Canis lupus familiaris: one gene and its partners. The protein of the gene in region 2 purifies or fractionates together with the protein of the main gene of each other region. This does not show direct contact. Links are inferred from orthologs where the notes say so. Each region holds a gene or a part of one and is shown on either strand. Other genes may lie near its edges.

The links.
Region 1: the proteins of BCL7C (region 2) and SMARCD3 purify together in Homo sapiens (affinity purification with mass spectrometry; 3 studies listed by BioGRID and IntAct, counting the BioPlex papers as one, with this or other methods). This does not show direct contact. The link is inferred for Canis lupus familiaris from reciprocal best matches to the Homo sapiens genes BCL7C and SMARCD3.
Region 3: the proteins of BCL7C (region 2) and ACTL6A purify together in Homo sapiens (affinity purification with mass spectrometry; 3 studies listed by BioGRID and IntAct, counting the BioPlex papers as one, with this or other methods). This does not show direct contact. The link is inferred for Canis lupus familiaris from reciprocal best matches to the Homo sapiens genes BCL7C and ACTL6A.
Region 4: the proteins of BCL7C (region 2) and ARID2 purify together in Homo sapiens (affinity purification with mass spectrometry; 3 studies listed by BioGRID and IntAct, counting the BioPlex papers as one, with this or other methods). This does not show direct contact. The link is inferred for Canis lupus familiaris from reciprocal best matches to the Homo sapiens genes BCL7C and ARID2.
Region 5: the proteins of BCL7C (region 2) and SMARCD1 purify together in Homo sapiens (affinity purification with mass spectrometry; 5 studies listed by BioGRID and IntAct, counting the BioPlex papers as one, with this or other methods). This does not show direct contact. The link is inferred for Canis lupus familiaris from reciprocal best matches to the Homo sapiens genes BCL7C and SMARCD1.
Region 6: the proteins of BCL7C (region 2) and SMARCC1 purify together in Homo sapiens (affinity purification with mass spectrometry; 4 studies listed by BioGRID and IntAct, counting the BioPlex papers as one, with this or other methods). This does not show direct contact. The link is inferred for Canis lupus familiaris from reciprocal best matches to the Homo sapiens genes BCL7C and SMARCC1.
Region 7: the proteins of BCL7C (region 2) and SMARCD2 purify together in Homo sapiens (affinity purification with mass spectrometry; 3 studies listed by BioGRID and IntAct, counting the BioPlex papers as one, with this or other methods). This does not show direct contact. The link is inferred for Canis lupus familiaris from reciprocal best matches to the Homo sapiens genes BCL7C and SMARCD2.

Annotation. Positions count from the first base shown.
Region 1 is NC_049237.1:16,005,955-16,009,454, forward strand, and holds the end of SMARCD3 (SWI/SNF-related matrix-associated actin-dependent regulator of chromatin subfamily D member 3), read right to left. Parts: coding exon 3,414-3,500; intron 3,164-3,413; coding exon 3,068-3,163; intron 2,914-3,067; coding exon 2,812-2,913; intron 2,575-2,811; coding exon 2,413-2,574; intron 1,661-2,412; coding exon 1,563-1,660; intron 1,401-1,562; coding exon 1,265-1,400; intron 969-1,264; coding exon 846-968; intron 727-845; coding exon 625-726; intron 410-624; coding exon 356-409; 3' UTR 51-355; downstream 1-50. UniProt on the Homo sapiens protein: Involved in transcriptional activation and repression of select genes by chromatin remodeling (alteration of DNA-nucleosome topology).
Region 2 is NC_049227.1:17,466,817-17,470,866, forward strand, and holds the start of BCL7C (B-cell CLL/lymphoma 7 protein family member C), read left to right. Parts: upstream 1-1,250; 5' UTR 1,251-1,347; coding exon 1,348-1,439; intron 1,440-1,946; coding exon 1,947-2,025; intron 2,026-2,326; coding exon 2,327-2,435; intron 2,436-2,537; coding exon 2,538-2,699; intron 2,700-3,996; exon of another isoform or gene 3,997-4,050. UniProt on the Homo sapiens protein: May play an anti-apoptotic role.
Region 3 is NC_049255.1:13,142,908-13,146,407, forward strand, and holds part of ACTL6A (actin-like protein 6A), read left to right. Parts: intron 1-2,294; coding exon 2,295-2,395; intron 2,396-3,280; coding exon 3,281-3,378; intron 3,379-3,500.
Region 4 is NC_049248.1:38,086,938-38,090,437, forward strand, and holds part of ARID2 (AT-rich interactive domain-containing protein 2), read left to right. Parts: intron 1-110; coding exon 111-245; intron 246-880; coding exon 881-1,077; intron 1,078-1,341; coding exon 1,342-3,500. UniProt on the Homo sapiens protein: Involved in transcriptional activation and repression of select genes by chromatin remodeling (alteration of DNA-nucleosome topology). Required for the stability of the SWI/SNF chromatin remodeling complex SWI/SNF-B (PBAF).
Region 5 is NC_049248.1:42,025,276-42,028,748, forward strand, and holds the end of SMARCD1 (SWI/SNF-related matrix-associated actin-dependent regulator of chromatin subfamily D member 1), read left to right. Parts: intron 1-601; exon of another isoform or gene 602-1,018; coding exon 1,019-1,120; exon of another isoform or gene 1,121-1,242; intron 1,243-1,246; coding exon 1,247-1,300; 3' UTR 1,301-2,973; downstream 2,974-3,473. UniProt on the Homo sapiens protein: Involved in transcriptional activation and repression of select genes by chromatin remodeling (alteration of DNA-nucleosome topology).
Region 6 is NC_049241.1:41,570,875-41,574,811, forward strand, and holds the start of SMARCC1 (SWI/SNF complex subunit SMARCC1), read left to right. Parts: upstream 1-1,137; coding exon 1,138-1,332; intron 1,333-3,937. UniProt on the Homo sapiens protein: Involved in transcriptional activation and repression of select genes by chromatin remodeling (alteration of DNA-nucleosome topology).
Region 7 is NC_049230.1:15,127,868-15,132,009, reverse strand, and holds the start of SMARCD2 (SWI/SNF-related matrix-associated actin-dependent regulator of chromatin subfamily D member 2), read right to left. Parts: upstream 2,801-4,142; coding exon 2,585-2,800; intron 128-2,584; exon of another isoform or gene 1-127. UniProt on the Homo sapiens protein: Involved in transcriptional activation and repression of select genes by chromatin remodeling (alteration of DNA-nucleosome topology).

The DNA of each region.
Region 1 (3,500 bases), on a different chromosome or scaffold from region 2:
TCTGCCAGCCTTGGGAAGGGTGAGGCAAAATGGATGGACAGATGGAGAGCTTGTTGCTGTATTTTTTTAATAAGAAAATGTTATTAAAAGCGTCTTCTGCCAAACTGTTTTTAGGTCTAGGGAAAATGGAGTAAAGAGAAGAATCTGGGACAGAGGGGGGGGTTTCCCAGAGGGACCCACCGCCTTCCCCCTGTCCTTCCTCCCCAGTTGCCAATGACACACAAGGCCGCTCTCAGATGCATGACCTTTAATCATTCCCCTGCCTCACCCGGCACGTGTCAGAAGAGTGATGGCAGAGCTTTGGGGACAGGGCCTGGGCCCAGAGGCCCACAGCGGTGGTCATTCACAGGGGCTCCTAGGTGTTGCGCACAACCAGCGACTGCTCCAACTCCTGCCTGCGCTGCTGGATCTTTAGAGAAATAAGAGCAGTAGCAGGGTTACGCTGTTGTTGGTGAGTGACAGGACAGTCCCACCCAGCCACCCTGGAAGAGCCTCTGGGAGCAGGGAGGGCTCCTCCGCGGCGAGGGGGTTGGTGGAGTGGCAAGGGCCACAGACGTGGCTGAGAAGGGAGGCTTCTCCTGGAGTGAGGGAGGGAAGGCCTGAGGTACACGGGCCCCTCCACACCTTGCAGTAGAAATAGCGGCTGACAGCTTCCTGGGACCAGGGCTGGTGGTAAAACTCAGCCCGGCGCTCCTCCTCAGGGTTGCCTGCCACATCTGTCATCACCTGGGAGGGAGCAGTGGGGTCAGCCCTGTGCCCAGACCCCCTCCAGCCCCCATGTAACAACATTTACTGTCTTCCCGATATGCTTGTCTTCCATCCAGTGCTCCCTGAGTCCCCTTCACCTTGAGGTCCCGGCTCTGGGAGCGGAGCAGGTCTTGGATGTAGCCTTTGGGGTCTCTGGAGAAGCTTAGCATGAAGTCCCTCTGGATCTTGAGCTGGTTTATGGACTCAATCGTCTCATGGATCTACAGGTAGAAAGACAGACACTTTCACCTGGCCATGGTGATGTGGGAGAGGAGGGGAAGGAGGAGGGGGGCGAGTGGGGGTTGGGATCTGCTGCCATCTGTTCTTTGAAGGGCTATCCCTCAGGTCGCTGCTGCCTCTGTAGTCCCGAGGAAGGGGGGATGGGCAGCACTCCCAAGTATCGAGGGAAGGGCCACCTGCCCCCTTCATCTCTCCATAGGCCTACGCTCTTGTCTGTTGTCTGTATTTTGTCATTTCTGGGTTAATGTCCCACTCCAGTTCTGGGCTCTGGCCCCACCTTACTGTCCAGAGCGCTGATCTCCTGCTGGTTGGCTGTGGACAGGAGGAAGCTGCTCATCTGTCCCTTCAGTGGCTCCTCCACCTCCACGTCAATATCATAGCACGCCGTCTTCTTCTGGTCCGACGGGTCCACGCTGCCAGGGAAGTCCAGCCCTTGGTATCCACACTGCTTCCACAGAGGCCAAGGGTCCCAGGGGCAGAGGTGGGGGGCAGGGGTGGGGTGGGGTGGGGTGGGAGGGATAGAGTGGGCAGGACTGCCATGATTCTCTGGTCAGAGGAGCAAGCTGGGGCCTCACCTGATGACGTGGTTGATGACAATTGGGTCAGGGGGCAGCAGCAGAGCTGTGAGGCGCTGGGGAATCTCAGAAAACTTCAGCCGTGGGCAATCAAAAATCTGAGGTGGGAGAGAAAGAGACCAGTCAGCCCTAGATCCTTCCATTGTGGGCGGCCACAAGATGCCAAGAGCAAATCTAACTCCTTAGTGCTGCTGGGGCTGGGACCAGGGTGTCTGTGGGCAGTAGAGAGTGGACCAGGAGGTGTGGGGGTTGTGGTGCAGGGGACCAAAGCACCCGCTCTGGGTCGGTGGCCACCCAGGTGCAAATCCTGCCTCTCCCATTAACACTGCAACCTTGGGCCAGTCCACTAGGCTCTCAGGCCTGTTGTAGCATGTCCGGTGTGGGGATAGTAACTACCAGGGTGGCTGGGAGAACTAAGTGGATGAGTACACATCAAATGCCTGCAGTGGTGCCTGGCATATGGCGAGTGCTCAATAAACCTCGACTGTTATTTTACTCCTCAAGTTTATCTGCCATATTTATTTTTAAAGCATTATTAATAATCTCTACTTTGGTAGAGTCTTGGACCCAGGACTAGAACCCAGGGATCCTAACTTCCAAGTGCCAAGAATATTACATTCCCCAAACTGTTGACCTTTTAAGGTTCTGGATCTTTCTAAACTGGCTTGTCTAAAATGGATGGTGGGCTGCAGCACGGAGCTACGCTGCAGTAGGGCCTACACTAGGACCCTGCTTACCATTTGTGATACCCAGGAATCTAGAAGGGGGGTGGTGCTGCCTTAGTCGAGGCACTTACCCTATTGGTACCTCTGCTTGCCCCCCACATCCCCAAGATCAGGAGAGAGGGTACCTGCTGGAAGTATTTGTCCCCATTGATGTATTCCTTATCATGCGAATCCTGCAGCCTGTTGGTCTTCACATACTGCCACAGGGCCTGCACAATGGCTGAGCGGCTCTGTGTGTGCAATCCCAACAGCCGAGCCAGGCGAGGATCCAGTTTGAATTGGGGAGGCTGAGGAAAGATGGCCATGGACATAAAGAGGGAGTGGGAAGAGCTCAGGGCCAGGCAGTGTGGGACTGGGGGAATGTGGTGACTGGGCTCCTGGGAAACCTGCTTCTGGAAATGAGGTAGGGAAAAGAATGGGGTCTCTTGGTGCATTTCTGTGAAGCCTAGGCCTGGCCTAAGGGAAGGGGTGGGGAGCTGGGGGGGCTAGGGGCCTCAGGTGGAGTCAGGGGGCAGGGCACAGACCTGGTAGTCCAGCATGAGAAGCAGTGTGCAGCGTACACTCAGGTCCCCTGGCCTCTTCACCTGGAACCCATCCGTCTCCTGGGTTGTGGGTGTTCGGTGCCACTGCCCAGGGAAGGAGAGCTGGGTCACCTCACAGGCCCACATGGGCTGCCAAGGCCAGGGACTCTAGGGTGGTCCCTGATCCAGATCTGTGCGGCTGATGGAACTGTGGTCTGGAAGGGTGGCAGTTCCCGGGCAAAAGAGGTCTGGGTCTTACCTCGACTAGGTGGTTGTCGGGGCCATAAAGGTCTTTGTCCAGTTCAATGACCAAACTCTTGAAGAAGGAAGAGAACTTCCGCTTCTGCTTGCTGGGCTGTGGGAGAGGGACAGGGACCGTGGGGGCAGGACAGGGACCGTGGGGGCAGGATGAGTCGGGAGTGGGTGGGGCTGGTTGGGTAGGGCAGCATGATTAGAAGCAGGCCTCTACACCCATACTGTCTCTTCAGGCCGCCCACCCCTGGTTGGGCTGACTCCCTAACCCATAGTGCAAACATCTCCTTCTGTCCTCAGCTCAGCCCCATACCCACCCCAGGACACCTGGAGAGACCTGGGCCAGGACGTACGTCATCCAGGAGCTTCCCCTCCACCCGCAGCTCCCAGGAGGCAATGCTGCCATCGGAATCTTCAGCATCAGGCTTCGCAGGGTTAAA
Region 2 (4,050 bases):
ATATACATAGGGAAAAGTGTACAGTTCGGTGAATATTCAGAGTAAATGTACTGGTGGTGGTGGGGGGATCAGCACCAGATTCAGATTAAGAAACTGAATGTGACCAGTCCAAGAGCTCCCTTTTGGCCTCTCCCAAGAGTGACCACTATCCTGAGTTCTCACACCACAAATTAGTTTTGTTTTGAATTTCATATAAAAGGAATCATATAATGCGTACTGTTGTATCTGATTTCTTTCATGAGACTTGTCCCTGTTGTCTGTGTAGCAGGATATCACTCTCTGCTGTGTCCACTGTGTGAACAGGCTACAATTCATTTTCCACTCTACTCCTGATGGGCTGTTTCCAATTTGAGGCCGTGCTCTACGGTGCTATGAAGATTCCAGTACACATCACTTGGTGCTCACACCTACGCATTTCTCTCAGCTTCTCTAGAAAACTGCCAGTTTGGGTGGCCCCGGTGGTGCAGCTGTTTAGCGCCGCCTGCAGTCTAGGGCGTGATCCTGAAGACCCTAGATCGAGTCCCACGTCAGGCTCTCTGCATGGTGCCTGCTTGTCTCTCTGCCCCTCTCTCTTTCTCTCTGTGTCTCTGTGAATGAATAAATAAATAATTAAAAAAAAAAACCTGCCCGTTTTCCAAAGCATCTCTATCCATTTTCACTACCCCAGGAACATGAGAGGTCTGGTTGCTCTACTCCTTTGTCTACACTTGATATGGTCTGTCGTTCTCATTTTAGCCATTCTGGTGGGTGGAGACCTACTCATATTTGCAGCATCTGGCCAGAAATGGGCACTCTGAATAGACTGCTGAATGAATGGCTGAGGAAGAGCTGGACAGGGCGGGAGCGACAGCCAGGGGAGGCTGGACACACGCTCTGCACGCAGCACGAGGGCCACCCCCGCGCCACAGACGCTCGCCGTGAGAGTGACCCTCTCGCGCCCCCTCCTCCTCCCCGCGCCCACGTGGTCTGAACGCACCTCCCCGGCCCGGCGGCGCGCGCCCTGGCGCCAAGCTGTCCCCAACCCTCCCTCTTGGCGGCGGGTAGGGGGCGCTGCGCGTCGGGGCGCCCCGAGGGGGCGGGCCCGGTCGGGGCGGGGCCGGCCGGCTTCCAGGCCTGGGCTTTGGCCGCCCGCACCGCCGGGCCGCTCCGGGGACGGGCCGGGGCGGGGCGCGGCAGCAGGAAACGGGGCGGGGACTCGCGGAGGCGTTGGGGAGCGAGGGAGGGCGCGGCCAACTCCCGGAGGGACGGCAGGCCGAGAGAGCGGCGCCCGGGTCTGGCCCGAGCCTGAGCCCGCCGGACGGGAGGCGGCCCAGCCGCGGGCTCGGCCTCGGCCCCAGTCCCGCCAGCATGGCCGGCCGGACCGTGCGGGCCGAGACCCGGAGCCGGGCCAAAGATGACATCAAGAAGGTGATGGCGACCATCGAGAAGGTCCGGAGATGGTGAGCGCTGCCCGGGGGCCAGGGATGGGACCCGGCGGGACCACTCCTCCCCCAAATGCGTCTAACCTCCCCTTCGCCGGCCGTGGCCGCAGGGTGTTAGGTGTGCCCCCCGGAGCTACAGGGCTCTGTCCCCCTTCTGGCTACACCCTAGGGTCTACAAAGCGTGTTCCCAAGCCGTACCCTCATTTATGCCCCGCCCCCTTAAGCTTTGACACTCCTCCCTCAAGTATGTCCAGGATCTTCATTGCTATGGTCCCCAGCCAGGCCCTCAGCCTTGCTCCCTTGTATACCCCAGGGGTCTGCAGAGCCATGGCCCCAAACCGTGCTCTCTCCTTAGAGGCACCCCTGTTTATGGCCTGGGGTCTGCAGGACTCTCTTTCTCCTTCTAACCATATGCCCCATTAGCGAAACCGCAGCACCCCCAAGTCTACAGGTCTCCCCAGATGTGTTCAGCTCCTGGGGGGGGCTCTCTCCTCAGAATTCTGACCCAGTCCCCCCCTCCCACAGGGAGAAGCGCTGGGTGACTGTGGGCGACACTTCCCTTCGTATCTTCAAGTGGGTGCCAGTGGTGGACCCCCAGGAGGAGGTGAGCAAACTCCCCCACTGTGCACCCTCAGGCAAGCCCCTTCCAATCCCAGCCTCCACCTCCAGTCCTGCTCTGAGACCTCAAATGCAGCAGCCAAGACAGATGTTAACAATTATTAGCAACTCCACCCCCTTCTCCCTTTTTCCTGCTTCAGACCCCTGAGTTCAAGCCCTAATCCACTGTGCCAGCCTCCTGTAGGGCCTTTTGCTGCTCTGTGCCTCAGTCTCCTTATTTGGACAGTGGGGGCTTTGCAAGCACTAACTGGAAAGCCGGAGCTGACCCTTATCCCTCTAACCCCCAGGAACGACGGAGGGCAGGTGGCGGGACAGAGAGATCCCGAGGCCGGGAGCGGCGGGGCAGGGGCACCAGTCCCCGAGGGGGTGGTCCCCTCATCCTGCTGGATCTCAATGGTATGTAGGGATCCTGGGATTTGGGGGGGTGTTGTGGGATGGGGAATTGAGGGAGCAGATTGGGGCTCTCAGGCCCAATGCTCTCGGCTTTTGCTCCCACAGATGAAAACAGTAACCAGAGTTTCCATTCGGAAGGCTCCCTGCAAAAGGGCACCGAGCCCAGCCCTGGGGGTACCCCCCAGCCCAGCCGCCCTGTGTCACCTGCTGGACCACCAGAAGGGGTCCCAGAGGATGCTCAGCCCCCACGGCTGGGCCAAGAGAGAGGTAGGACCAGGTGCCTCCCTGCAGCCCTCTCTTCTGAGTTGGCTGGTGGCTGAGTTGGAGCCATCAGCTTACCCCTACCTACACCTGCTCCCCTCCTTGTTATCCCCTTCCAGAGGCCTTCCCTGACTCCTGCAGAAAGTCACCATCCTACCTCCAGTAGCTAACTGTCTCATTCATCCGGCTTCTTTGGGTCTTTTTTTTTTTTCCCTTTGGGTCTTTATGTAATTAATCACTGTCTGAGATTTTCATGTAAATTTTATTTTTTACTACTCAAATTTCTTCCCCCACTCCCACCTCATGTTGGCTTCCTGAACTTTGGGCCCATGTTGCTCCTGTCCATTACTAGATCCTCAGAACAATGTGGGACACATAGAATGTACTCAATAAATATTTGTTAAGGAATGAATAATAGTGATATTCCTGAGGGTGATTAATAAGTGATAATGATAGCTAAGACTTATTGAGCTCTGTGTGCCAGATACCATTCTAAGCACTGAACATGTTTGATTTCATTTAATCCTCACTATAACCCTATGAAAGTTATAATCCCCACATGTGGATGAGAAGCTGAAACCCAGAGAAGTCTCCTAAGCTCACATGGCCAATGAGCCAGCATCTTGGGCATAATTTTGCCTTAGCTCCTCTTTCTTCCATATAGTCAATCCCCTGTCTGGTCGGAACCACCTTGCAAATGTGTCTCCCTTCCTATAAGAGCCATCTCTTACCTGTGCCTGGCTCCAGCCTCCTTGTGGGTCTCCTCTTCCCTAGTCACCTCTACACAGCTGCCAGAGCAACTTTTTCTAAAGCATAGATATGGCAGGCTCATTTTCCTGCTTCAAAGCCTTCAATGGCTCCTATGGCCTTTGACTCCTCCACTTGGCACTCACGGCCCTTCGTGAACTATCCCTGTTGGTCTCATTGTTCCTTTCCAGGAATACCATGACTTGGGCCTATGGGCCTATGGGCTGTGTCTAGATTGTACCGTGCACTTGGGTACCTTTACTAATACAAAAACAACAGGCATTTATTGAGCGCTTTCTATGTGCTAGACACTGTACTGAGGGCTTTACCTGTATTATCTCATTGCATCCTCACAACAGTCTCATGTGGTAATTACTATCATTATCCCCACTTTGCAGGTGGGGAAACTAAGTCCAGAGGAATTAAGTCACTTGCCCAAGGTCAGGATTTGAACCGGAGGAATCCAACCTCAGAATCTGTCCTCACAAACATATAGTCTGTCTGCCTAAAATGTGCTCCATCTCCACATTTGTCTACCCGATCAGATCCTACTCACCCATCAAGATCCCACTTAAATGTCCTTGCTGTGTCTTCCTCTGGCCAATAGCAA
Region 3 (3,500 bases), on a different chromosome or scaffold from region 2:
AGAAATGAGGATTAGTCTGAATGTCAAGGTTGAGTAAAGCAGAGCAACCAGCATATGTAAATAGGTGGAGCTGCAGAAGAAGCTTACATGTTTAGAAAGGTCATCCGTTAAGGATCCCTGTAACAGGGCAGCCCGGGTGGTTCAGCGGTTTAGCGCCGCCTTCAGCCCAGGGCATGACCCTGGGGACCTGGGATCAAGTCCCACATCGGGCTCCCTGCATGGGGCCTGCTTCTCCCCCTGCCTGTGTCTCTGCCTCTTTCTCTCTCTGTGTGTCTCTCACGAATAAATAAAATCTTTAAAAAAAAAAAAAAAAAAAAGGATCCCTGTAACAGTGGGTGTATTAGGACCAGTTGCAGTAAAGGTGGGCAGAGAGCAATCATGATAGGACTTGTAAACCACCACACTAGGGGTGTATTAAGCTGGCAAATGAAAGGATACCCCAAAGGAATTTAAACAGAGATATGAAATATTCATATTTTCCAACTAGAGGGAGGATTCTAACAGTGTTATATAGGCTAGATTAGAGGAAGATACTAGGATTAGTTAGGTGAGAATTCAGATGAGAAATGAAGAGGGTTCACATTTTATTACTGATGGAGATCCTGAGTTGGCTTTGAGGGGTATCAAAGAGATGAAAATTTTCCTAGATTTTTGATTGGGGTGATTGGGTACCATGCATTGAGGTAGGATAGAATGGGAAGGAGGAGGTTTTATGGTCTTAAAAGGCAAATGTAATACCGGAGGTCACTCTTATGGTTCAGTTATTCACTAGAAGGACTCACAGGACTCCGAATATAGTTGTACTCATGGCTAAGATTTATTCTACTGTAGGGATACAAAGCAAAATTAACAGGAAAGAAAGGGCATGGAGTGAAGTCCAGAGGAAAGCAGTGCAGACTTCTTAGAGTCTTTTCACAGTGGAGTCAAGCAGAATGTACTTAATTCCTCCAGCAATGAGATGTAACATGTGTGTTGTCTACCAGAGTAGTTCATTAGAGACAATTTTTACTGGGGGTGATCATGTGGGTACCCTGTGCCTTGCATGTACTAAAACCTAGGGTTCTCAGTGGGAAAGATGTTCATCATAAACCACATTGTACAAACAGTTGAGGTGCAGTGAACTACTCTCATCATTTAGGGGAAGTTTCATCAGTGTAGTGTAGTTATCAATCAGAGTTCTCAGATGCCAGCTAAGGGTCAGCCTTGCAAGCAGGTCTTTTTTAGTTACTGTGTGCAAAGTATTTGAATATAGGTGCTGTTGTAGTAAGTCGGTGAGAAGAATTTTAAGACATGGAGTTGTATTATATTAGCCAGAAAGCATGTGGAAGATGAGACACAGGTGGAGGATAGCGTCCCTTGTGAGAGCCTGTTCTGTTTTTATCCAAAGAGAAGAATGGGTGTCCATGAAGGAGAATGAGAAGGAACAGTTAGGGATGTAGGAGGATAAATAATATTCAGGAGAAGGCTAAGGGAAGAAAAAGTTCTTGGAGCATAGAAGTGATTCATTTTCATTGTTCTCAGCTGTGACATTGAGATTTACACAAGAAAGGAAGTGTTAGAGTGACTAACAGTTCATTGACCAAACAAACAAATCCTCATATGCCTGTGGGAGTATGTTGTACAGGTAATGACATTTTTTCTTTGGACTGTGGCAGAGCAAGTTTGTAAACTCTTCAGTGTTCAGTAGTGTCAGATGATGTTGAAGGAGTCAAGGATATTACAAATGTGAAGTTTCCCCTGGATTTGTCTGTCAGCAGGTCATTAGTGACTTATGCAAGCATTTTCTTTTTTTTTTTTTTTTTTTTTTTTTTTTACTATGCAAGCATTTTCGATGGAATGTTTAGGTGGAAGCCAAATTGAACTATTCCCTGAAGGTTTTTTTTTTAGGTTTTTAGGTTTTTAAATCTTTTTTCAAGTAGATTGTAAGCTTTTTGATATCCAATCTAGATCATACCATTCTTTTGTATTTTTTCTTACCATTCAAATTGCATACTGTGCTTCTAGTAAGTACTTATTGAATAATATTTATTTGGCATTTTAGGTCTATTAGATACAGTAATTATATTTGGGACAGGTCTAGGAGTTGTGATACTGTTGGGGCTGGAGGAACCAAAAAGAGGCTCCGTGTTTATAGACAACAAAGATGATGTCTATATAAAGTACTGTATTACGAAGTAAATCTATAAAATAAGTAGATTCTATGTTAATGCTTAACTATAGAAACCATCTCTTAAAAGATTCTGTGTTCATCTTCAACTAAGCATTGTTTTCAAGGTATTAATCTTATATTGTAGTTGAAGACTGGGATAGTTTCCAGGCTATTTTGGATCATACCTACAAAATGCATGTCAAATCAGAAGCCAGCCTGCATCCTGTTCTCATGTCAGAAGCACCGGTAAGACAGGCTTTCTTTTCTGAGTTTTGTAGTTGTTTTTTAAATTCATTCAAAGATTGTGTTCTTTTTTTCTTTAAAGAGGCATATTTTGAATTTTGAAAATTAGGGAAAGGAGGATTAATTTTTTATATCCTGTTACAATTTTTATTATTTCAGTAGTTAAAATATTCAAAGAACAATAACAAAGCACCCTAAATGGAATTTGATTATTTATTTTTTCCAGGGATTTATTTAACACTTGAATTCCTTGGGCCACTTCCCATTTGGGTTTATGAATTGTCCCGTATGCCCCAGGGGCAAGGTGTATCTGCTTTTATATTCTGTTTTCCAGGAGAGAAGTCAAATATGGAATTAGGGCTGGAAATTACTAGACCCAGGACTCTTGTGAAATAAATTTAGTAGAGTCCAAATTATCATAAATCATAAATTAACGATATTATCGTAACGATCATAAATTATCAATATTTTGTTATTGTTTTTAACCTATAGTTTTCTTTATGTGTACCAACTCTAAGTAGGAGAATTTGGTGGTTTAAAATTACCAGATTAATTCTTAAGATTTAATAATAGTTTATAAGAATTGGGATTTTCTTGTACTTTGAAGTCTGTAACTTGTAGAATTCATAGCAACAGATAATTATACTTTTTATTAAATAAATTTTCATTTATATTTACTGAATTTATTTACAGATAAATAGAAATAAATACACATATATTCTTTTTTTTTTTAATACACATATATTCTTATGAAGATTATTTTATGTGGTATTCTGTTTTTAATGCTTAAATCTTTGTTAATGTGGTGCTATATTGAATCTTGAAATAAATCAACATTTTAGTTTTTAAACAGTAAATAACTTGCATTTCTTTTTCCCCCTTTTCAAGTGGAATACTAGAGCAAAGAGAGAGAAACTGACAGAGTTAATGTTTGAACACTACAACATCCCTGCATTCTTCCTTTGCAAAACTGCAGTTTTGACAGCGTATCCTTGAAAGAGTAATACTCAGCTTTTCTTTCAAAGTAAATATGGTACCATTAAAGAGAATGCCCCCAGCAGGAAGACATGAGCCAGTTCTTGCTTGTTCAGAAGTTTGGGGTTTTTCT
Region 4 (3,500 bases), on a different chromosome or scaffold from region 2:
AGGCATAAATATTACCTTATGATACATTGCCTTCAAGTAGTTTTACTATATTTAAATATGAACTCTACTGTAATATATTGCGTAATGCCATTTATTTTTCTCCTTTTTAGGCTAAATGCTCATTTTGAAGTAAATCCAGACTGTTCTGTCTCTCGAGCAGAGATGTATTCTGAGTACCTCTCAACGTGCAGTAAATTAGCTCGTGGTGGAATCCTAACTTCAACTGGATTTTATAAATGTCTTAGGTAGGATGTTTAGTTATTAACTTTAAACAAAGTTAATTTGAATCACCTAGAATATCTCTTGCTCTTTGGGGAAAATACCAACTATCTATCTACTTTTAAATATTTCTACTACTTGAAATTTCATATAGGCTATGTTGTAATAAGATGGAAATTTAAATACAAGGAGATTTTTGGAAATCAAACCTCATGTTTGTGTTTAAACATTATGAGGCTTATCAAAGAAAGAGAAGGGAAAAACTTCTTTCTACCCACTGAAATATGTTAGAGACATGACTTTTGCCCTTTTTATCTTGAATAATAGTCTACAACTAATACTCTTATCTTCAAATATCAAGGCTTTTGATATTTTGCAAAAGTTCATAAAATAGACATTGCCTAGATGCAGCTTCTTTGTTCATTAGATATGGTATAGAATTATTTAAAACCCAACAATGTTAATAATGATTTTAAAAATTGGGAAATTGATCTTTTATATTTTTTCTTTGCTTCCCACCCTTACAGAATAGATCTATATGAATCATACTGGTTCGTATTAGTAGCAGTAACTATCCTGCTACTGTTCATGTAAACATTGTTTGAAATGTTTTTTGCTCGTTTGCTAGTTTATAAAACTAAGTTATGTGTGTACTTTACAGAACGGTCTTTCCAAATCATACAGTGAAGAGAGTGGAGGATTCCAGTAGCAACGGGCAGGCACATATTCATGTAGTAGGAGTAAAAAGGAGGGCTATACCACTTCCCATTCAGATGTACTATCAGCAGCAACCAGTTTCTACTCCTGTTGTTCGTGTTGATTCTGTTCCTGATGTATCTCCAAGTCCTTCACCTGCAGGTATTAATTTTTGAGTTTTTAAGTATTACTAACTTAACAAACAAAATGAAACAGTATATTATATAAATTTAAAATGAATAATTTTTCCTTGTTTTTCCAGTTGCATTTTGCTTATTCTGTTACTTTTATCATATTCATATGATGCAGAGGTGTTAAATGTTAATTTCTTAAAAGGATTTTTCTTTTGTATTAAGTAAAGCAATGCCTACATTCAGCTTTTCAGTCCTTTCCTTATGAATTTTGACCTTTCCCTCATATTTTCAGGAATCCCTCATGGACCACAAACTGTAGGAAACCATTTTCAGAGGACTTCTGTTACCAACCAGTCTTCAAATTTGACTGCAACACAAATGTCTTTTCCAGTACAAGGTGTTCATACTGTGGCACAGACTGTTTCCAGAATTCCACCAAATCCTGCAGTTCATACCCACCAGCAGCAAAATGCTCCAGTGACTGTCATTCAAAATAAAGCTCCAATTCCTTGTGAAGTTGTTAAGGCTACAGTAATCCAGAATTCTATATCCCAGACAGCAGTTCCTGTTAGCATTGCTGTGGGAGGTGGAGCTGCTCAGAGTTCTGTGGTTCAGAATCACAGTACAGGGCCACAACCTGTTACGGTTGTAAATTCCCAGACATTGCTTCATCATCCATCTGTAATTCCACAACAGTCTCCATTACACACAGTGGTACCAGGACAGATACCTTCCGGCACTCCTGTTACAGTAATTCAACAAGCTGTCCCACAGAGTCATATATTTGGCAGAGTACAGAACATACCAGCATGTACTTCTTCAGTATCACAGGGTCAACAGTTAATCACCACATCACCCCAACCTGTGCAAACTTCATCTCAACAGACGTCAGCTGGTAGCCAGCCGCAAGACACTGTTATCATAGCACCTTCACAGTATGTAACAACTTCTGCATCCAATATTGTCTCAGCAACTTCAGTACAGAATTTTCAGGTAGCTACGGGACAAATGGTTACCATTGCTGGTGTCCCAAGTCCACAACCCTCAAGGGTAGGGTTTCAGAACATTGCACCAAAACCTCTCCCTTCTCAGCAAGTTTCATCAACAGTGGTACAACAGCCCATTCAACAACCACAGCAGCCAACCCAACAGAGTGTAGTGATTGTAAGCCAGCCAGCTCAACAAGGTCAGACTTATGCACCAGCCATTCACCAAATTGTTCTTGCTAATCCAGCAGCTCTTCCAGCTGGTCAGACAGTTCAGTTAACTGGGCAACCAAACATAACTCCATCTTCCTCACCATCACCTGTCCCAGCTACTAATAACCAAGTTCCTACTGCCATGTCATCATCTTCCACCCCTCAATCACAGGGACCACCTCCTACCGTCAGTCAGATGCTATCTGTGAAAAGGCAGCAACAGCAGCAGCATTCACCAGCACCCTCACCGCAACAGGTACAAGTACAGGTTCAGCAGCCCCAACAAGTACAGATGCAAGTTCAGCCACAGCAAGCGAATGCAGGCGTTGGTCAGCCTGCTTCTGGTGAGTCAAGTCTGATAAAACAGTTGCTGCTTCCAAAGCGTGGCCCTTCGACACCGGGTGGTAAGCTAATTCTCCCAGCTCCACAGATTCCTCCCCCTAATAACGCGAGAGCTCCCAGCCCTCAGGTGGTATACCAGGTGGCCAATAACCAAGCAGCAGGTTTTGGAGTGCAGGGGCAGTCTTCAGCTCAGCAGCTGTTGGTTGGGCAGCAAAATGTTCAGTTGGTACAAAGTGCAATGCCACCCACAGGCGGAGTGCAAACTGTACCTATCTCGAACTTACAAATATTACCAGGCCCACTGATTTCAAACAGCCCAGCAACCATTTTCCAAGGGACTTCTGGCAACCAGGTAACCATAACAGTTGTGCCAAATACAAGTTTTGCAACTGCAACTGTGAGTCAGGGAAATGCAACTCAGCTCATTGCTCCAGCAGGAATTACCATGAGTGGGACACAGGCAGGAGTTGGACTTCAGGTGCAAACGCTTCCAGCCACTCAGACATCTCCAGCTGGACAATCATCCTGTACTACTGCTACTCCCCCATTCAAAGGTGATAAGATAATTTGCCAAAAGGAGGAGGAAGCAAAAGAAGCAACAGGTTTACATGTTCACGAACGTAAAATTGAAGTAATGGAGAACCCGTCCTGCCGGCGAGGAACCACGAACACCAGCAATGGGGATACAAAGGAAAATGAAATGCAGGTGGGAAGTCTTTTAAATGGGAGAAAGTACAGTGACTCAAGTCTACCTCCTTCAAACTCAGGGAAAATTCAAAGTGAGGCTAATCAGTGCTCACTAATCAGTAATGGGCCATCGTTAGAATTAGGTGAGAATGGAACATCTGGAAAACAGAACTTGGAACAAATGGACATGCCGGATATCAAAAGTGATTTGAAAAAACCTCTA
Region 5 (3,473 bases), on a different chromosome or scaffold from region 2:
AATGTGAAGATCTAATTGGTTTTATTCAATGATTCATGAACTGGGCAGCATCCCTTCTAGTAAATAGGCATTCTGAGGACTTGCACAGAATGGAAAGTTTTGATAGCAAGGAGGTTACTAGCAAAAAATAAAGGATTGTTTCAGACCAGGTTATTTTCTTTTAGAGGGAAGGGAACCGACTGATACAATTTAAAAAGTTGTAAAGCAAAAAAAAAAAAAAAAAAAAAAAGTTGTAAAGTATGTAAGACATTATCGGAACTCACCACTACCAAAGACATAATTCAAAGACGGAGATGGGTGAGGCTGGAATAGCCGGGGAACGCTCCATGGCAAATTTCGGATTTGCGGTAATCCTCAGAGAGGAGAGCACCATAAGCTCAGGCAAGGAGGTGGGAGTGAGTACCGAAAGAGTGAAACGTGCCCTCAGTTTTCTCCTGTCCTGTGGTGACTGTAATTACGGAGGCTGAGCAGAGGAACACAGGACAAGGGGTGCCAGAAAGGATCCCAGAAGAGAGCAATGACTCATTAATAGCAGGGGGTGACTTTGGTCGTTGTGTTAGTAGTTTGCGAGGGCTGCCGTAGTAAAGTACCACGAACTGAGTGCCTTAACAAGAGAAATTTATTTTTATCTGGAGGCTGGAAGTCTGAAGTCAGGGTGTTGGGAGGGAGAATGTGTTTCCAGGCCCCTCTCCCAGCTTGCGATAGCCTCAGGCATTCCTTGGTTTGCAGATGGTGTTCTCCAGGTGTCTTCACATCATCTTCCCTCTGTGCATGTCTGTCTCTGTGTCCAAGTTCCCCCTTTTTATAAGGACACCAGTCCTGTTGGATTAGGCCCACCCTAATGACCTCATCTTAACTTGATCATCTGCAGAGACCCTATTTCCAAATAAGGTCACATTCACAGGTACTGGGGGGTTAGGATTTTGTCGTCTTTTGGGGGGATACAATTCATCCATAACAGGTATGAAGGAGGGAAACAAGTCCTTCTCCTCTTTCTCCCCCCTTCCCTGTCCCCCAGACCATGACCGATGTGGTGGGTAACCCAGAGGAAGAACGCCGAGCTGAGTTTTACTTCCAGCCTTGGGCTCAGGAGGCCGTGTGCCGATACTTCTACTCCAAGGTAGGTGCCTGGGTGTGGGAAATAGACAAAAAGGCAGGGATCTGAACCCCTGATGGATGTCAGTAGTATGAGGTGCCAGCTTCTGGCTTGTCTCATCTTCTGCTCCCTCCACTGTTTTCTCTCTAGGTGCAGCAGAGACGACAAGAATTAGAGCAAGCCCTGGGAATCCGAAATACATAGGGCCTCTCCCACAGTGCTGAGCTGGCTCCATCGATTCTTATTTGGGCCCTGTGCTACCTGCCTCATAGCACCTGCCTTGGCCTTGCTTGGGGCCTCCCAGGGGATGCTGTTGGTTCAAGGACAACATCAGAAAGAAGAGGGTCTCACATTTCTGTCTCATAAGACACCTGTCACCCTCTTCTCCCACCCCATCCCTTCCTGTCCCCCAGCTTCCCTTTGCCCCACAAAGTTCCCATGTGCCTCTACCCTCCCCTGGTCTACATAGGACCTCTAGGTAGCGTTAGAGAGAGAACCTGTAGTGGTAACCAGTGCATTGAATGGATTGGGCCTAAGGCCAGGTGGTCTTCAAGGGGACCAGCTACACTGATCCTGCCCTTCAGAGACCCAGGAGTTGGGAGCTTTAGTCCCTTCTCTGAGACTCAGGCCTGGGGGCACTCTATAAGCTAGTTGATCTTGGCTCTCTGGATAACAGAATCCAATTTCCTTCCTTCCCTCCACAGGTTTGGAGCACACTCTCCCTTTACTTCTTGCCCTCTAGCACTAAAGGAACCCCGGTTCTTGGGCCCCACTGAGCCCCAGGTCAGTCCGCAGCCCTCTGGATTGGCCTGCTGTCTCAGTGCTTCTCTTACTCCCTCGTAGGGGGTCCACATCAGTATTGGAGTTTGTTCTTTAACTGTTGCTCCTTCCCAGCACACTCCCTGTAGCTGCTCTTTTTAGGCTCCCCTGCTATCTATCTGTCCTAACGCAGGGCATTTGGGTGGGGGAATCTTGCCTTTCCCTGTCAGAGCCCCAGGGATCTAACCTGGGGTATTGTCATTGCCAGCAGAGGCTATTCCTTCCTGCTGTTGCTTGGAGGTGTGACTCATTTATTCACTCCACCCTGCCCCCCCACCCCCACCCCTTCGTGGAGAAACAGGCCTGAAATCAAACGGGTAAAAGCCCTGGGCCATCCCTGTCTTCCTGTCCCTTGTCTGCCCAGTTGACACCCACTGGTGACTTCTAGGGCACTGAGGAGTGAAAGCGCCTAGGGCTGGCGAATAGCTCTGAGTTGGGTTTGTGACTCTTCCCTCTCCCTGCCTCACAGGATTGTGACTCCCCAGCCCCTGCCCTCAAAGCTTCAGACCCCTCAGGTAGCAGCAGGACCTTGTGATCTTGGCCCCTTGGAACTGAGATGGTTTTGCATCTTTCCAGGAGAGCCTCAGATTCTTCTTCCAGGTTGTATCACCCCAAGTTAGCATACCCCAGGCTCGCAGACTCAACATAGCAGGGTGGGAGACAGCTGGGCACAGAGGGGGACTCCGTTCAGCCTGGGCTCTAAACCCACAGAACTGACAAAGCCCCTGCTTCCCCACCCCCTCCTCAGGCTCCTGCGAGCACATCCTCCAGCCCCATAACCCTGCCTGTTCCACACCGGGGACAGAATTTTCTCTCCATCTTCCCCTTCTGACCATTGTCCCATCCCTCCCTTAAGAGGTTCTCCCCACAGACACTGGACAACCTCTGTCCTTGGGGCTGGAACCAGGAGAAGGAAGTTCAGCACTCCTACATAGTGTCCCTGTTGAAGATAACTTTTTATTAACGGAATTATTATGTTTTTTTCATGGACCAAAATTTTTTTTGTACTGTCCCCTTATCGATGTCACCCAGTTTTAATAAAAGAATCTTCTGAAGGATGGGTCCCCCTACCTACTGAGGGAGAGCTTTTCCCCGAGCTCTTTCTCCAATACCATTAGCCACACTCATGGTGTTTGTTCATTTTATTTAACAAATATTGACTGAGCACCTGCTGTGTGCCAGCTGCGGTACTAGGCACTAGGGATACGGTGGAAAACGAGGTTTCTGCGCTGTGGACCTCAGGTTCTCCAGAGCTTGCTCTGTCAGCCCGCTGGCTGAGCAGGCTGGTCTGAGCAGGCTGGGTACTGGTTGGGATCATTGGGCTTCCTCCGTGGATCTGAGAGTCCCGCCCCGGGCTCTAGGTAGGGAGGTACTACCAAGGCCGTGCCACTGCCATCTTATCTTCTCCCCGTGGTGTGCGCAGGCGCCGTAGGCTTGCTGATCCTGAGCCACCTTGGGGGCAGGTCCTCTTGGGCCCCTATCCAGCCAGGTCCTAGCTGAGGACCTCTGTGTGCCTCTGCCTGCTGTTCCCTTAAGGCTCCACTCTAGGGCCCTAGTG
Region 6 (3,937 bases), on a different chromosome or scaffold from region 2:
CTCCTCCACAGGTCATTCATTCACTTATTCATCGAATATTTATGGAACATTATTAGATAACAGGCTCTGTTTCCAGCACTTAAAGTACACCCGTGAACAAGTCACGATTAGGTTCTCACGGAATGGATGTGGATAAGAAAATAAGAAAAATCCCAGGTCGTAGGGAGAGCGCTACACAGAGAATGTTGAGTATGATTAGCTGCTTAAGGCTGTACAGTCAGGGTTCGTTGTTTGTTTTTGTTTTTTTTTAATTTATGATAGTCACAGAGAGAGAGAGAGAGAGAGGGGCGAGCAGAGACAAAGGCAGAGGGAGAAGCAGGCTCCATGCACCGGGAGCCCGACGTGGGACTCGATCCCGGGTCTCCAGGATCGCGCCCTGGGCCAAAGGCAGGCGCCAAACCGCTGCGCCACCCAGGGATCCCTGTTTTTGTTTTCTGAAGCATCTTTAAACTATGAATTTGAAAGCGCCAAAGTGTCAGTCATAGGGGAAGAGCTGTCCCGGTTGCGGGAACAGCTGGTGCGAGGGCCCTGAGGCAGTAAAGAGCTGGCGTGGCTGGAGCCACCACGGGGAGGAAGGTGTGCGCTGCAGCAGCAGCTCCGGGCGGTGCGCCCAGGTGGATGCTTACAAAGGCTACGCGACCACGCCTTGCAGAAGGTCGGGCGCAGAGGGGAAGCAGGCGCAGGTTCCCCATCCTCGGCCAGCACTCGACACCCTAAACGGGCTCCCCCCTCGGAACTTCTCACTCCAGGTCTTTCCTCTCCGGCGGTGGCAGGGCAGGACACAGGATCCCCGTGCAGTGGTTGACGGGATGCAGGAACTTTGGTCCTGCACGACCCCGCAGAGGCCCAGAGCGAGCAGCGGAGAAACCGCGCAGCCGGCCTCGTCAGGCGGAAGAGGCGGGGGCAAGCGCAGGACCCGACTCCGCCCGGCGCCGGTGCTGCGCATGCGTGCGCGCGTGCCCTCTTCAGTTAGGGACCGGGTCCCGAGAAGGGGCGTGGCCGGCCCTCCGCGCCGGAAGGGGGTTGGCTGGGCGGGGCCGGGAGGCGGCAGCGGCGGCTGCGCGCGCGCGCGGGTGCGAACGGGGAACGCCGCGAGGGCCGGGGCGGGCCGGGCGGTGGGGACGACGGACGGCGACGATGGCCGCGGCGGCGGGCGGCGGCGGGCTGGGGGCGGCGGCGGGCGCCGCGGGCGCAGGAGGCGCGGCGGCGGCCGCGGGCCTGGCGGTTTATCGGCGGAAGGACGGTGGCCCGGCCAGCAAGTTTTGGGAGAGCCCGGAGACGGTGTCCCAGCTGGATTCGGTGCGGGTCTGGCTGGGCAAGCACTACAAGAAGGTGGGTACGCGCGCCCGTGGGGGCCGGGAGGCCACGCGACGGGAGCCGGGCGCAGCTACTGGCCTCGCGGGCCTCGGGCCGCCCCTCCCCCCCGCGCGCCACGAGGGACAACAAAGGCAGGCGCCGGGCCCGCCACGCCCCCGCCGTCCGCTCTCCGCGCCCGCGCGCCCCGGGCTGCACCGGCGGGCCCCTGGGGCCAGGCCTCTGGGAGCCCCCGCGCTGCGGGCGGCGCTGCGGGCGGGAGTCCCCCCCCAGCTCACCCCGGGGTGCCGGAGCATCTCGAGCTCAGCAAACCGGAGGGCGTGAATCTCTTTTGTTAGCTGCATTGGGTGTGCGAACAGTGATTATTACAAACTGTCCGAGCTAGTGTCGTAAGAGCAGCTTCAGGTTTTGTTTAGAGACGTCTTCAAAGTCAAGTGAGGTAGCTAAGGTTCTACTACCTGTTGTTGGCTCGGTGAAGAACGACTAGACGATTGTACTCGGAAGTTAACAGCAGGCCAATATAATGGATGATAGTATTGACGAAGCACGGATATTAAAAAAAAAACAAACACGACAGTTTTTACCCTATTATACTTTTAGTTCTGGGTAGTGTGAGTACAAGAAGGAACGTTCACTGGTACCTAATGAGTTTCTCAGTGAGGCCTTCCCTGAGAGCCCCATTTATACTAGACTGGCGCACTTCACATCACCTTGATTTTCTTTGTACCACTTTGTGAGATTTTTTTTTTTTTTTTCTCATTTAGCTGTTTCTCTTAACTCTTGGGTGGTAAGTTCCGTTGAGTCAGTGGTATTGAAAGTTGTGACTTAACCTTTTATTTATAACGAGTGTTTTTTAACTTCCCCTGGTAGATACATAGGAATGACTCTTTTAGAAGGTGTAATGAAGCAGACAGCCCAAAATACCTCCTCTGCCCCAGATTTCCGAACACCCTTTTCAAGTTCCATACTTCTCCCATTGAGAACCATAGCACTGGGGCAAGGAACTTGTCCCGCCTCTTCACTGCATTGCCCACCCCCCATCCCCCCATCCCCCTCATCCCCCCCACCCCCCGCGTGACTGGTACTCCTTGCCTCACCCTTAGTAGTTGCTTAGTAAATTCTCGTTCAGTGAATGAAAAGATGAAGTAGTCTAGAAAACCTATTCATTTGAGTTGTGCAGCGCAGTGGAGTTTGTCTGTTTCTAGAGATTGGTACGCAGGGGCAGGATCTTGGGTTCTTTTGACATTCCCCTGTGGTACTCTCGGAAATGACTTTCTTACTGAAGTTTTAGGAAGTGAGAGACATTTTTATTTACGATATATTTTTAGCTGTTTTGACTTTTTTTGCCCTCAAACTTTGCCGTCACGTTTGGGATTGCCAATTTTTTCTCATCCGCACATTAGGTAGACAAGAATATTGCTCTCTTACATAAATTGGTCACTTTTTTTTTTTTTAAACATCTGCAACAGAGCTTCTAGAAGTGGCTAAGGGAATTGAATATATTTATGTTTCGAAAGTATTATTTTTATCAGTGCCCTTCAGCCAAAGCTTTGGGTTTTAAATTCAGTGTACCTTAATGTGGCCTTCCCCCTCCCCCAGTCTGGATTTTTTTATTGAGATATAATTGACATATAGCTATTAGTTTATCAATGTGGTTTTAGCAGAAATGAGGAATATTCCTTTGGATATTAGGGAGGAGAAAGAGAAATAGCCATTTCTACCTCTCCAAACTCTGTGCATCTGTTTGGGCTCAATTTCCAAGTTTTTTTTTTTTTTAAGATTTTAAAAATTTATTTATTCAGAGAAAGAGGCAGAGACAGGCAGAGGGAGAAGCAGGCTCCCTGCAGGGAGCCCCATGTGGGATCATTCCCTGAGCCAGAGACTGGGCCACTCAGGCGTCCCTTTTCTTTTCTTTTTTTTTTTTTTTTTTTTAATTTATTTATTCATGATAGTCACACGGAGAGAGAGAGAGAGGCAGAGACACAGGCAGAGGGAGAAGCAGGCTCCAAGCACCGGGAGCCCGATGCGGGATTCGATCCTGGGTCTCCAGGATCGCGCCCCGGGCCAAAGGCAGGCGCCAAACCGCTGCACCACCCAGGGATCCCAGGCGTCCCTTTTCGGGCCCAATTTGAAGAGGGCCCTTGTCGGCTTGAATGGGTTTGTTTGGTGTGTGAGGAATTGTTTCTGAGGCTGACCGAGGGATTTGTCCCAGAGTGTTGATGCCATTGGGCAAATGTTGGCTCAGTGTTCTTCAGGCCTTAAAGTGAAGGTTAGGTTTGATTTCTCAGGATTTCCTAAGGCCAGGGTATATTTCTTGGGCTTCCTCAAATTCAGAATTGTATATTCCTCATGCCTGAGAGACAGAATCCTATCAGCCTCACAGAGTGGTATTGGAATGGCGAACCTAACCAGGATGCAATATGTATATGTCCACTCGGTGTACACATTGATGGCTATTAACTAAACTTTTTGTTGCATTTGATACTGCATTTTTATATTCATAAGTCTCAGCAACTGAATGAAATAAACACATTGTTGGTAATCCCACTTTTATTAGTGGGCTTATTCATGCATTCCATGAACAACTGGGCGTCTAAACGTATCTGGGCACTTAAACCATAAC
Region 7 (4,142 bases), on a different chromosome or scaffold from region 2:
AAAACAAAACACCCCAAAACAAATCCCAGTCAGGCCACTCAAGGCTCTGTAAGTCCCTGCCTGCAGTAAAGCTCAAGCTAGGAAGTGTGTGACAATGTCCTCTCCCTTGCCCGGCAGCAGCCCATGTCCTAAGTGTGACTCTACCTCCACTGCCCAGGACAGCAGGGCACGTGGCTGGGCCTAATGCTGCACCTCCAGAGAGCACGCAGCACCCTGCCTCAAAGCCTGTGGCCCTGGCGCCCCTGGTGGCCCAGGCCTAAGAGAAGGGAACATACCCCTCCATAAGCAGAAAATATTTTGAACTCTGGAGTGAACCCAACAATCTGGGTTTCTTTGGGTTTTGTTTTGTCTTTCTTTTTTTTTTTTTTTTTTTTTTTAAGATTTTATTTATTTATTCATGAGAGGCAGAGACACAGGCAGAGGGAGAAGCAGGCTCCTTGCCGGGAGCCCGACATGGGACTCGATCTTGGGTCCCCAGGATCAGGCACTGGGCTGAAGGCGGCACTAAACCACTGAGCCACCCAAACTGCCCCATTTCTTGTTTTCCTTAAGCTCTTCTGTCGAGTATGATCCACAGCTAGATCCACTGTGTGGAGGGAGGTGGGTCATCACTTCCCCTCTTTCCATAGGTTCCCTAACTTACCCCACTTGGCCTGGAAAGCCTTGCTCTTCTAGCTCACTTCATGTACCCTAACAGACAGGACCCCCTTTGCTCCTCTGAAGTCCCATCTCCTGGAAGTCACACAACTGGACTTAGAAAGAGGCCAAGCAGAATCTTACTCGAACTTAGCCAGGGTGAACTGGGTCTTCCCTCTCCCCTTGGATCCTCTACTGTCCCTTCCTGGAGGAGGAGGAAGAGGTTATGAAAAGCTGGTGGGACAGGAAGCTTGCAGAAGCAGAAGCTCAGTGCCTACCCTTTGGTCCCCAACCCTAGCAGCCTGGGGCTCCCCAGCCAGTCAGCTGGACCTTGCCACTGGCCCAAGGCCACTCCCTACATAGGGCTGTGGAACCCATTATCCAAGGGCTTTCCCCAGGCCACACTGCTCACAGCTTTTGAACAAAGGCAACTGGAGAGGCTCCTATCTCTTCTTAGACCAAAGGCCCAGAGAGACTCCAAGGCCTGTGCTCAGCTAGCCGGCCCAGGGGCTGTAATGACTCATGTCGAGACCCCTCAGCATCAGCTTGGACCCATGAATCCCCAAGTGGGAAAGCAAGATGGGAAAGATGGGAGTCACTGGCATTATCTCTGTCAGTACCCAGATATTTTGTTTTCTTTACAGAGAGGAGGGGGGATGAAGAGTAAGTGGGAAAAATCAGGGTCCCCAGTTAGGCGTCTCTTTAGAAAGTAAGGGCCCAGGGCTCTGAGGGGGGCGGCGAGGGAGATAAGCATATCCTATCCTATGAGGATCCATTTGTGGAGCCTCTACCTGGAGACCAGAGAGTCAACCCCAGCTTCCTTGGGAGATTAGCAAAGAAGCCAGTGCCAAACGCTGGGGCACACGGGTTGGTTGGGATATGACATTGCTAGAACCTAAAGGCTAAATAAGAGTGCAGAGAGAGTGCAAAAAAGGATGGGCACAATTCCCAAGCATTCTGGGGCAACCAGAAACAATGGACTGGAGAGGGGGGTACTGATGAGCCCCACCAGCAGGGTCAGGCCCTAAGGATGGAGTCTCTACCTCTCCTCGGCCTTTGAAGCTGCAACCTGAGACGCGCTCTCTTGGAAGCCAAACTCCAAAGGGGTCAGGACAGAACTCTTTGAAGCAACTCTCACAGACAGGCTCCTCCAGCCCCAGACCAGCAGGGCTCAGTGGAGCCTCTCTGCTCCTGCACACTAACCAACTCCTGGACACTAGGACACCAGGCAGAAAGCCAAAAGGAGAGTCGGCCCAGAACGGGCTGGGCTTTCCGCCTGCCTCAGGCCTGGCCACCACCAGCTCTGGTCGAACCCGGAGCCACCCCACGGGAGGGCTCCTGGGCCTGACCTGGAGCAGACCCTGCCCGGCACAGGCTGGGGTCCCCTTGCTCCGTTCTCCACCTCCCGGGCCGCGGGGAGCCAGGCCCTTCTTCCTCCCCATCAGCAGCTGGGAGCCATCTCAGACACGCTAGAACTCTGCCAGTTCCCAACTAGAAGAAAAAAAAAAAAAAAAAAAAGCCCAGCGCAGACTTGGAGTGGGACCAAGGCCAAGGCAGGGTAACCCTGGTTTCTCCGTGAGGGCCCTTTTGCAAAACTTTCCCAGCACTTCCCCGAGCCCCCTTCCCTAGGACCTACACTAGACTTCTCGGTCCGCTCGCCCACAGCTCCCGGGCTCCGGTTCCTCCACCTCTCACTCAGAATCCCCGTTCCAAGAAAACCTCCAGACCCTCCCAACCGCCCCCAACCCTCCAGCCCAGGCTCGCTCTGACCCTCTCCCCGAGCTGCCCCGCCGCCCGGCCTTGCCCTGCACCCCGTCCCGCGCACTCCGCACGCCGGGCCCCCGTGCCCCGCCCGGGGGCTGCCCCGCGGCCCCGACTCCAGCCCCCATCGCCCCATCGCCCCGGGCGACCTCGCGGCGCCACCCGCCCGCCCGGCCGCGCTGCTCACCTGGTACTGCGCCGCGGGGCCCGCGGGGCCCATGGGGCGGAAGGCGGCGGCCCCGGGGCCCCCCACGCCGCCAGCCGGCCCTGGCCCCCTGAGCGCCGGTCCCGGCAGCATGCCGGGTCCCGCGGGCGGAGGCGGCGCTCCCAGGGCCGCGGCAACGGCGCCGCCACCAGGACTCAGCGGAGGCAGCGGGAACCCGCCCGCGCCACGGCCCGACATCGCTCCGTCCCGTCCGGCGGTGTCGCGATCCGGGCTCCGGGCTCCGTGTCGAGTCCGCTCCGCGATCCGTGCTCCGGGACTTCCCGATCTAAATTCCGGGTTCTGGGGCTTGTTGATCCGGGTTCCGGGATTTCCCAATCCAAGTTCTCAAGTTCCTCCTCGCAGACCCGGTTTGGGGCAGGGCCGATCCTGATTCCGGTCCTGCCCGGGCAATTCCGGATCCGGGATCTGCTGCACGCCCGCCTGACGCTCGCGGCCTCCGGAGGTTTGGCCGCCGGAGTCCAGTTACCCGGAGGCGGCAACTAACTCCCAGCCCCGCCCAAACAAGCCCGGCGCTAGGCCCCGCCTAGAACCTGCAGTCCAATGCCACGGTGCCGCTCAAATCCCGCCCCTCGCGAGACCCGCCCCCAGCAAGCACCGCCCCTAACCGCCAGCCGCCCCCCCCAGCCACGCCCCCACGCCTCAGGCCCGCCCTTGACCGGAGGGGCGGAGGCGGAAAGCTGCGCAGGAAGCGCTGTGCAAGGCGCGGGGTCAGAGGTTGAAGGTCACCTAAGGGCTTCAACAGAGAATGCGTGGGGAGTTGCTGATCTCTGCCCCGTGGAGCCCGCCCCCCGAGGTTCCCAGTTACACTCCCTGAAAATAGTTGACTTAAGTCGCTTTTCTATGTTTTAGGCAGTAAAAATTCAGCTTAGAGCTGTTTCCTGAGGCAGAAGAGCCACCAGCTTCACTTTGTTTAATAGCCCATCCTGCTGGCTCAGAGCTGCCAAGGGACGTCAGCTGCCCCAGACCCAGTCCAGCTGTGTGACGGGCTGACTTGGCCCTGCGCCGAGCTCTTATCGCATATTTTTAACGTGGCTCTGCCTCACTTTAAGGAAGCCTAGTACTTTACTCCACAGGAAATGTTTCTAGGGGGAGGAATTTTGCCTTGTGAGAAAACTCCCTGCAGTTAAATAAGGTCTTTCTCCAGGATTTATAGTACTTAATTGGAAAAAAAATTCAATACCTTTTCAGAAACCACTATCCTGTGTCATAAGGTATTCAAAATAAAGCCCTTCAGCTGTGTTAGCCTACATGCTGGTCATCTGGGGTTTCCTCCCCCTGATACAGGCCAGTGCTTCTTAAACTTTAATAAGCACAAGAAACATCTGGGGCTTTTGGGCAGCCCGGGTGGCTCAGTGGTTTAGCGCTGCCTTCAGCCCAGGGCATGATCCTGGAGTTCTGGGATCGAGTCCCATTCGGGCTCCCTGCATGGAGCCTGCTTCTCCCTCTGCCTGTGTCTCTGTCTCTTTCTCTCTCTCATGAATAAATAAAATCTTAAAAAAAAAAAAAAAAAAAAGAAAGA